Struthio camelus: one gene and its partner. The protein of the gene in region 1 purifies or fractionates together with the protein of each later gene. This does not show direct contact. Links are inferred from orthologs where the notes say so. Each region holds a gene or a part of one and is shown in the gene's direction. Other genes may lie near its edges.

What was found.
Region 2: the proteins of CDC25A (region 1) and CUL1 purify together in Homo sapiens (affinity purification with western blotting; 6 studies listed by BioGRID, with this or other methods). This does not show direct contact. The link is inferred for Struthio camelus from reciprocal best matches to the Homo sapiens genes CDC25A and CUL1.

The regions. Positions count from the first base shown.
Region 1 is NC_090943.1:996,573-1,000,472, forward strand, and holds the start of CDC25A (M-phase inducer phosphatase 1), read left to right. Parts: upstream 1-886; 5' UTR 887-1,008; coding exon 1,009-1,160; intron 1,161-3,900. UniProt on the Homo sapiens protein: Tyrosine protein phosphatase which functions as a dosage-dependent inducer of mitotic progression. Directly dephosphorylates CDK1 and stimulates its kinase activity. Also dephosphorylates CDK2 in complex with cyclin-E, in vitro.
Region 2 is NC_090943.1:62,580,174-62,584,073, forward strand, and holds the start of CUL1 (cullin-1), read left to right. Parts: upstream 1-1,199; 5' UTR 1,200-1,323; intron 1,324-3,892; exon of another isoform or gene 3,893-3,900. UniProt on the Homo sapiens protein: Core component of multiple cullin-RING-based SCF (SKP1-CUL1-F-box protein) E3 ubiquitin-protein ligase complexes, which mediate the ubiquitination of proteins involved in cell cycle progression, signal transduction and transcription.

The DNA.
Region 1 (3,900 bases):
GCTTTCCAGCAGGTCAACCCCCAGCCTGTCCTGGTGCATGGGGTTATTCCTGCCTAGGTGCAGGACCTTGCACTTGCCTTGGTTGAACTTCATGAGGTCCCCCTCCGCCCAACTCTCCAACCTGTCCAGGTCCCTCTGAATGGCAGCACAGCCTTCTGGTCCCTCAAGGCCGTGCGGCCGCTTTTCGTTTTTTGTTTTCTTTCTTTGTTTTAAACCTTTGAAGTTTCCAGCCTGGAATGGCCGTTTCCCACTCGTGGTTATACGCCGTGACTTTATATTTTTAGGCACCGGGCGGGTGTCGCTTCCCCGGGGGATGCTGCACCCTGTGGCGGGAGGGCGTTTCACCCCAAACAGGACGGGGTGAGAAGGTTTACGGGCCTTAAAACAACCCTTGTCGCCGGGAAAAAAAAAACGGGGGGAAAAAAAAAAAGGCACCCGGCCTTTTTTAGGGCTGCGACAAGAGTGAGGGGAGTAGTGTGAGTAACAGGCCCCCATGAGGGCGGCTTGACTGGAGGCGCCTCAGGGAGGCTGGGGACTACATTTCCCAGCATGCAACGCCGAGGCGGGCAACGCGTTCCACGCGTTGCCCGCCTCGGCGTTGCATGCTGGGAAATGTAGTCCTCTCCGCCGGCCACAAAGCAAGCCCCCCCCACCTATTCCTCGAGGCACCCCATTGGCCGCCCTCTCTGGCAAAGCCTATTGGCCGCAAGCGCTGTCAAGCAGCCCATGAGGGGAAGGAAGGCGATTCCCGGCGTTTCGATTGGTCGGAGGAAGGAGCGGGCGGGGTAGAACTAAAAAAAAAACCCCACCCACCCACCAAAGCCCTGAGGAGACGCTGGTTCTGATTGGCGGAGAGGGAGTTTGGCGCCAGCTTCGGAGCGGGGGCGGAGCGGGCGGGCGGCGCGCGCGCGCCGGGCGACGGGTGGCGGCGGGGGTCAAAGCGGCGCGGGTTGTTAGGGGGGCGGGGGGGGGAGGTTGCTGACAGGAGGAAGGAGTCGGCTCGCCGCCATGCACCGTGCGCCGGGGGGCTCGCACCGCCGCCGCCTCCTGCTGCTCTCCCCGGCGCCGCCCGCCGCCTCCGCCGTCGTCAAGTCCCTCTTTCCCGCCGAGCTCTCGCCGGTCTCCGACCTCCGCCTCACCATGGAGCAGCTGGGACGCGGGTCAGTCCGGCCGCAACCGCCCCCCCCCCCAAAAGGAGGGAGGCCTCGAGGGCCCCTTTCTGCCTCCCCCCCCCCAAAAGGAGGGAGGCCTCGAGGGCCCCTTTCTGCCTCCCCCCCCAAAAAGGAGGGAGGCCTCGAGGGCCCCTTTCTGCCTCCCCCCCCCCAAAAGGAGGGAGGCCTCGAGGGCCCCTTTCTGCCTCCCCCCCCCAAAAGGAGGGAGGCCTCGAAGGCCCCTTTCTGCCTTCCCCCCCCCCCCCCAAAAAAAGGAGGGAGGCCTCGAGGGCCCCTTTCTGCCTCCCCCCCCCCAAAAGGAGGGAGGCCTCGAGGGCCCCTTTCTGCCTCCCCCCCCCCCCAAAAGGAGGGAGGCCTCGAGGGCCCCTTTCTGCCTCCCCCCCCCCCAAAAGGAGGGAGGCCTCGAGGGCCCCTTTCTGCCTCCCCCCCCCAAAAGGAGGGAGGCCTCGAGGGCCCCTTTCTGCCTCCCCCCCCCCCAAAAGGAGGGAGGCCTCGAGGGCCCCTTTCTGCCTCCCCCCCCCCCAAAAGGAGGGAGGCCTCGAGGGCCCCTTTCTGCCTCCCCCCCCCCAAAAGGAGGGAGGCCTCGAGGGCCCCTTTCTGCCTTCCCCCCCCCCAAAAGGAGGGAGGCCTCGAGGGCCCCTTTCTGCCTTCCCCCCCCCCCCAAAAAAAGGAGGGAGGCCTCGAGGGCCCCTTTCTGCCTCCCCCCCCCCAAACGGAGGGAGGCCTCGAGGGCCCCTTTCTGCCTCCCCCCCCCCAAAAGGAGGGAGGCCTCGAAGGCCCCTTTCTGCCTCCCCCCCCCCAAAAGGAGGGAGGCCTCGAGGGCCCCTTTCTGCCTTCCCCCCCCCCCCCCAAAAAAAGGAGGGAGGCCTCGAGGGCCCCTTTCTGCCTCCCCCCCCCCAAACGGAGGGAGGCCTCGAGGGCCCCTTTCTGCCTCCCCCCCCCCAAAAGGAGGGAGGCCTCGAAGGCCCCTTTCTGCCTCCCCGCCCCCCCCCAAACGGTGGGAGGCCTCGAGGGCCCCTCTTCCCCCTTCCCTCCCTGTCCCGTTTCCCGCTGGGGTTCCTGCCGCGCAGCTCTCCTCCCCCGCCGCGTCCCCCCTTTCCGCCCCAGCCCGCGGCAGCGCCCCGTCCCTGCCCACGTGCTTCCCGGCGGCCCGGGGTCACACCGTGCGTCTGCCCTGCGCGGCCCCGGGCTGCCGCCTCTGCCCCCACCCCGCAGCGCCTGCCTCTCCCTCCCGGCGGGCAGCTCTCCTCTCGCTCCCGCCGCTGCCTGCCTCCCGCGACCCTGCGGCCGCCCCTCGCCCCCCGCCTGGCCGCAGGCCTCGCGGCTCTGCCGGCCTGCTCTCCCTGCTCCGCTCCCCTCCCAGCGCCCGCTGCCCCGGTGCCCTGTCCGGTTCTGCTGTTTCCAGGCTCTAACGTCTCTCCTTGTTCCTACAGCAACCTCTGCAGTTTCCCTTACAGGGCTCCTGTCTTGCCCTGGCCTACTGTCCGGTCCTGACAGCCCTCCTCGTGTTTGTCCTTTACCTCCTGTTTTTATAGCATTCTCCTCTCTGTAATCACTCGCTTCGTGGCCCTTCCCTCCTTCGGATTCCTGGAATTCCTGCAAACAATTCGCAGCGCGCTCCTGCACGCTCGCTGTTTTATCCTTAGAGTTTGTAGGCTGGCACGTCTTCTGAATTGACCTATTTGATGTACGAGCCGCGCTCGTGTAGCCTTTCCCTTCCCTAACGTACCAGAGGAAGGCCCTGCGGGACGTGCGCCTGTGCCCCGTGTTGAAGGGGTTGCGCCTGCAGCCCCGTACAAAGCCGGGGCGCGTGTGACGCGCCCCGGCGGGCCGGCACGGCAGCCTGCCTGGAGCCTCTCCGCCTTCTCGCGGGGCGGCTGGTCCTCGGACGCGTGCTGTGAGTCGGGCTCTGAACGCCGCGCGCCCCTTCATCTGCAGAGTGACGTAGATCGCGCCGATGGTTACGTGCGCGGGGAAAAGTGAACCTTGGGAAGTCAAAGCTGGAGACCTACCTACTTAGAAGGGGAGACTGTTGGAGTTGGACAGTTGGCCCCCCCCCCCTCAAAGTGTAGTTAACTGAGCAGGGCTGCGAAGGAAGGTTACAGCCCCAAGGAAGACAATGGCGCCCTGATACAGGGGTTTCTAGGGAACAATCTGGGAGGTGTCGATATGATTCAAGGCAACAGTATCCTATTGCACAGTTGCAGTGATTTTAGTCCTGAGGTCTTATCACAAGGCCTGTCGCTTTGTTGTGTTAAAACCTTCATTTGTGATGGCACAAGATCAGGATAAAGCATCACTTAAAAAAAAAAAAAAAAAAGTGGGGTGGGGAACACTTCACAGTTAATGTTATGCAGAAAAGCTTGGCAATCTGGCGCGAGGGGGCCAGAAGGGCTTCCAGGAAAGTCTTAACGGGCTGTTTCTATCCCTCTGTCAGTCTGACTCTTAATTTTGGTGGTCTAATTTCTAGTGTTATCAATACTGCATTTTAGAATTAAAAAACCAAGTTCCTGCAGACAATAGATGTGAGCATAGTTGGAAGTGTGGTGGGGTGTGTGATGTATCTGCTGTTTAGCACACAAAAGGCTTCAGTCTGCAGGGTTACCAAGCTGGAATCCTTTCACTTAGCCAAGAAGTGTTATACTTGCGTTGCGTTACCACATTCATGCACTGTTATGTTGTATTTCTCACTTTGCTGAACGCTTAAAACAACAAAAAAATTCTGTCT
Region 2 (3,900 bases), about 62 Mb from region 1:
TCTCCTCCAGTCTGTCCTTTCCCGGCTCTTAACGCACCGCGCAGAACTGGCCGCGCTGATGAGGTGTGCAGCGCAACGTCCGCTGCTACCCTCTAACGTAACTCCCGTGTGCTAACAAGCCAGAAACGTCAGTCATGCCTAGGAGCGGTATTTGCAAAGCACGTCTACAAGGGGCCAAACTAACGTGAGCGCTGCGATGCCATCCCGCTGACGGCGTCCGTGCTCTGCTATTAAACCAGCCCCTAAAACAGCGCTGCGGTGAGCGTTAGGCCAGAACTGTTTCATCAGAAGAGCCGTGTCCACGAGTTTGCTAGCGCCCACTTCAGTGGGTTGCGCTGAGGTAAGGCGTTATTACACAAGGAAATAATTTTACAAGCACTTAGGTGACTAAGGGCCACCCACTTTGAGAAAGGCCAGTTTTTGAAAATGGCGCACAGCTGCTGGAGCCAGGATGCAAGCGAAGCACTTTGCAAAGCAAAGATAATGTCTCTCTGTTTCTCCCTATTGTTTCCCCATTTTCTTTCCTTAGAAGCTATCGCACTATCGCATTTTCTGGAATGAATTCCAACGTTCTTTATTCTAACGTAAAGGAGTTAAAAAAAAAAACAACAACAAAAACCTCATCTGAATTGCTCCAAGTTTCGTTTGGCCCAACTCAGACCCAGAACCCGACCCCCTCTCTGCAGGGGAGCTCACTCAGCACGGTTTGTGATGGTGCAGCACAGAAAACCTCGGCAAAGCAAAACACAAACATCCACGTGAGGATAACTTAAACCCCATCCTTTTCTTTTGCAGCACAGCTCCACGAACGTAATTCCGCAGCTGCCCGGAACAAAGACGACGACAGGACTGACTCCAAAACGTTACTTTTCCCCGAAGCCCGTGTTAACTGTGGTACGATGCCGCACCACCCGCTCCGCACTGTTACACGCAGAAACCAGCCGCCCCCGCGTGCCGCCTACACAAAGGCGATGCTACACGCGCTGCCGCGTTTCACCTTTTCCCTTCACACACTGGAGCTCGCCACCGGAGCTGCTTTAATTTAAGCCTGCCCAGGGGGTCTCCCGGGGCCAGCACCCCAGCCGGCTGCGCCCCCCCCGGCCGCCCTCTCCCCAAACCGCCCTCTCCCCTGAGGCAGCGGCCGCCTGCCCGAGCCCGGGGTCGGGGCGAGGGGCGGCGCGGCGCGGCGAGGGGCGGCGCCTGGGCGCGCTCGGGGCCGCGCTGGGGGGAGGCGGCGGCGGCGGCGGCGGCGGCAGAGGGAGATCCGGGCCCGGCGGAAGGGGCGGGCGGACGCGGCCTGACTCTGCGGGACGCGCGATGCTGGTGAGTGCGGGGAGGCCGCGGCGTTGTGTCGCAGCCAGCCCGGCGGCGGTGGTGGTGGTGGGGCCCGGCCCGGCCCGGCCCGGCAGCTGCCAGGAGGGCCGCGGCCCAGGCCGAGGCGGCGGAGCGGAGCCCAGCACTGAGTCACGCCGCGGCGGGAGGCAGCGGGGCGAGGGGCGCCGGGCCCGGCCCGGCCTGCCCGCCCTCCTGCCCGCCCGCCTGCCTTTCTTCACCGCGCCAGGGAGGCGGCGGGCGCCGCCATGGCGGCCCTGGCGGCGCGGGCCCGGCGGCGGCGCGGAGGCCTCTAGCTACGCACTGGAAATACCTCGCCGCCCTCGGAGCCGGGAGCCCGCCTCGGCCCCTCGCTGCCCGGCTCCGGCCCTCTGCCGCCTCCTTGCCCTCGGCCCGGCTGCAGGGAGCTTCCCCCCATGTCCCCCCCCGCTGCCGGCCCAGCGTGTCCCCGCAGCCCCGGCGAGGCGCCGCTGCGGCCGGACAAACCCCCGCGTGTCCCTGGTGCCGCCGTGGCTCCTCGGCGCCGCGTCCCGCGCGTCCCCCCCCCGGCTGGGGTCGTGCTCCGGGCTTGCCCTGGTTGCCCCCTTGCTGTTGCCACCCCCCCCCCCCCAGTAGCCTTTTCTCTGTCGCCCCCGTCCAGGTGAGCGGTCCTGCAGGTTTTGGTCGTGGCTAACAGGCAGCTGGTCAGCCTCCCAGGAACTTGGTCCGGCACTGGAAGCTGGCTGCGTCTCTCCTGGCATCTCTTCCCATCCTTCTTGTTTCCCCTTCGAGTTGTGTTCTTTCATCATCGTTATTCCCTGATTACCTTTTCCCCCTTCCAGCTTTCTTCCTCCCCGGTAGCTGTTTCCTTCACCGCGATTCTTTGCCCTTCTGATCTTATTTTCCTGTTGTTAAATCCTTCCTCGTGATCTCACCTAATACCCTTTCCTTTTGACATGTTCCTTTTCTCCATCGACTCCCATGCTGTCTCCCCCCACTTTGTATTTAAATCCTCCAGCTGTGCTTTTGAGGAGAGGAGGAACTTCAGCCTAGATTGTATTTGTCAGCCAGTACTAGGAGAACACGAAACAAACATTTTTAAACCTGTTTTACCTTATTTTATTTGTTTCTTACTGATTTCCTCAGCAGTCTTTGCCCCAATACATGTGTTTGTGTATATTCACATTCTCTTCCCCCCTTTCTCCACCGACACACACACCCCCTAGTGTTAGTTTAGAAAAACAGCTCTCTTGGAAGACCTTTTGGTAGGACCTGGGGGAGTGGTCTGTGGGGGCAAGAAACTTCCAGCGGCTGTATAACTTAAATTAGTGCCAAGCATTGTTTCTTAATGCTGTATTGTGAATTGGTACTTCAGTTGAGGTACGGTATGTTTGGGATGGTTTCTCTTTGGGGAAGTCCTAAGAGGCCTCACTGGGCCTCCCTGCTACTCACTAGATGCATATTTTTTCCTCAGGAAATGATCACAGCGAACTGCTGCAGTGTTGAGTATTGGTGGCTGGGAGTCTGTGTTGCACTGGCACTTGTGTCTCTGCTAGTGACTCTACTGGAAAGTAGTCTTTTCTTTCTGCTTTGTGATTTCTTTTGTTTCTCAGTAGTAGGTTACCCAACTTCTTATTTTACATCTTTCTGAATTGCTTTAGTTCTTAACATTGGTTGCATTTTATAATCGCATCACCACGACGTATTTGAGGTCCCATTTAAACCTTGGACGTAGTTGTGCCATGGAGGTGTCAGGACTAGTTTCAAATTTTGGAAGTAATTTATACACCTAACTTAGAATCCAGAATGAGTATCTAACATTAACAGCTTATTCACAGTAGGATCTGTTTCTTCCTCATTGAGAAAGTAACTGGAAGACAGCTTAGAGTAACTGAATTAGACTTCTAGTCTGAATTACTCCCCTAGAGGAATCTTTTTCCATCGCCTATCAAGGGGTCGTATGGAGGAACAGTTTCTTGGTTTAGGCACCTAAATAAGACACATGTGCCAATACAATGTTGACAAAGCAGTTGTGCTGATTAAACTAAATGATTCTACTTCTACTTTTATCCTTTCTACACTGGTTTACACTTGCCTTATAGCTTGAGCCTGTTACTTAGTCTGTCAGCATGAGAAAATTGAATCACTAATTTATATCATTTAAATTTAAGCTCAAATGATTCATACCCTTATTTGGAAACTGATGTGAGGATGGCTTTTGTGATTTCAGCTTATTCTCATTATTAGCTTAAAGTCTTACATCCTAGCCATATTGTTATGGATATAACATTGGATCCTCGGAGAAAGTTGTTATATCAGATATTATATCAGATATTAAGAAAAGGTTTTTTTTTTTCTTTTTGTAATTTAGATGTCAAGATCTCTGAATACTGCTTTTCATCAGTTATGTTTCTCAGGTGGTGTCTCCTTTTACATAGTTGCACAAAACTAACTTCTCACTTCAGTGAGACCCAGCTTAATGATGAGTCACATCCTGGGTGTTAGCGGTGAGGTGAATTGAGTGTACCTGGAGTCTTCTCTTCTGGCATTGAAACTGTTTTTATGTATTTATTTTTCCCAGTGGATGAA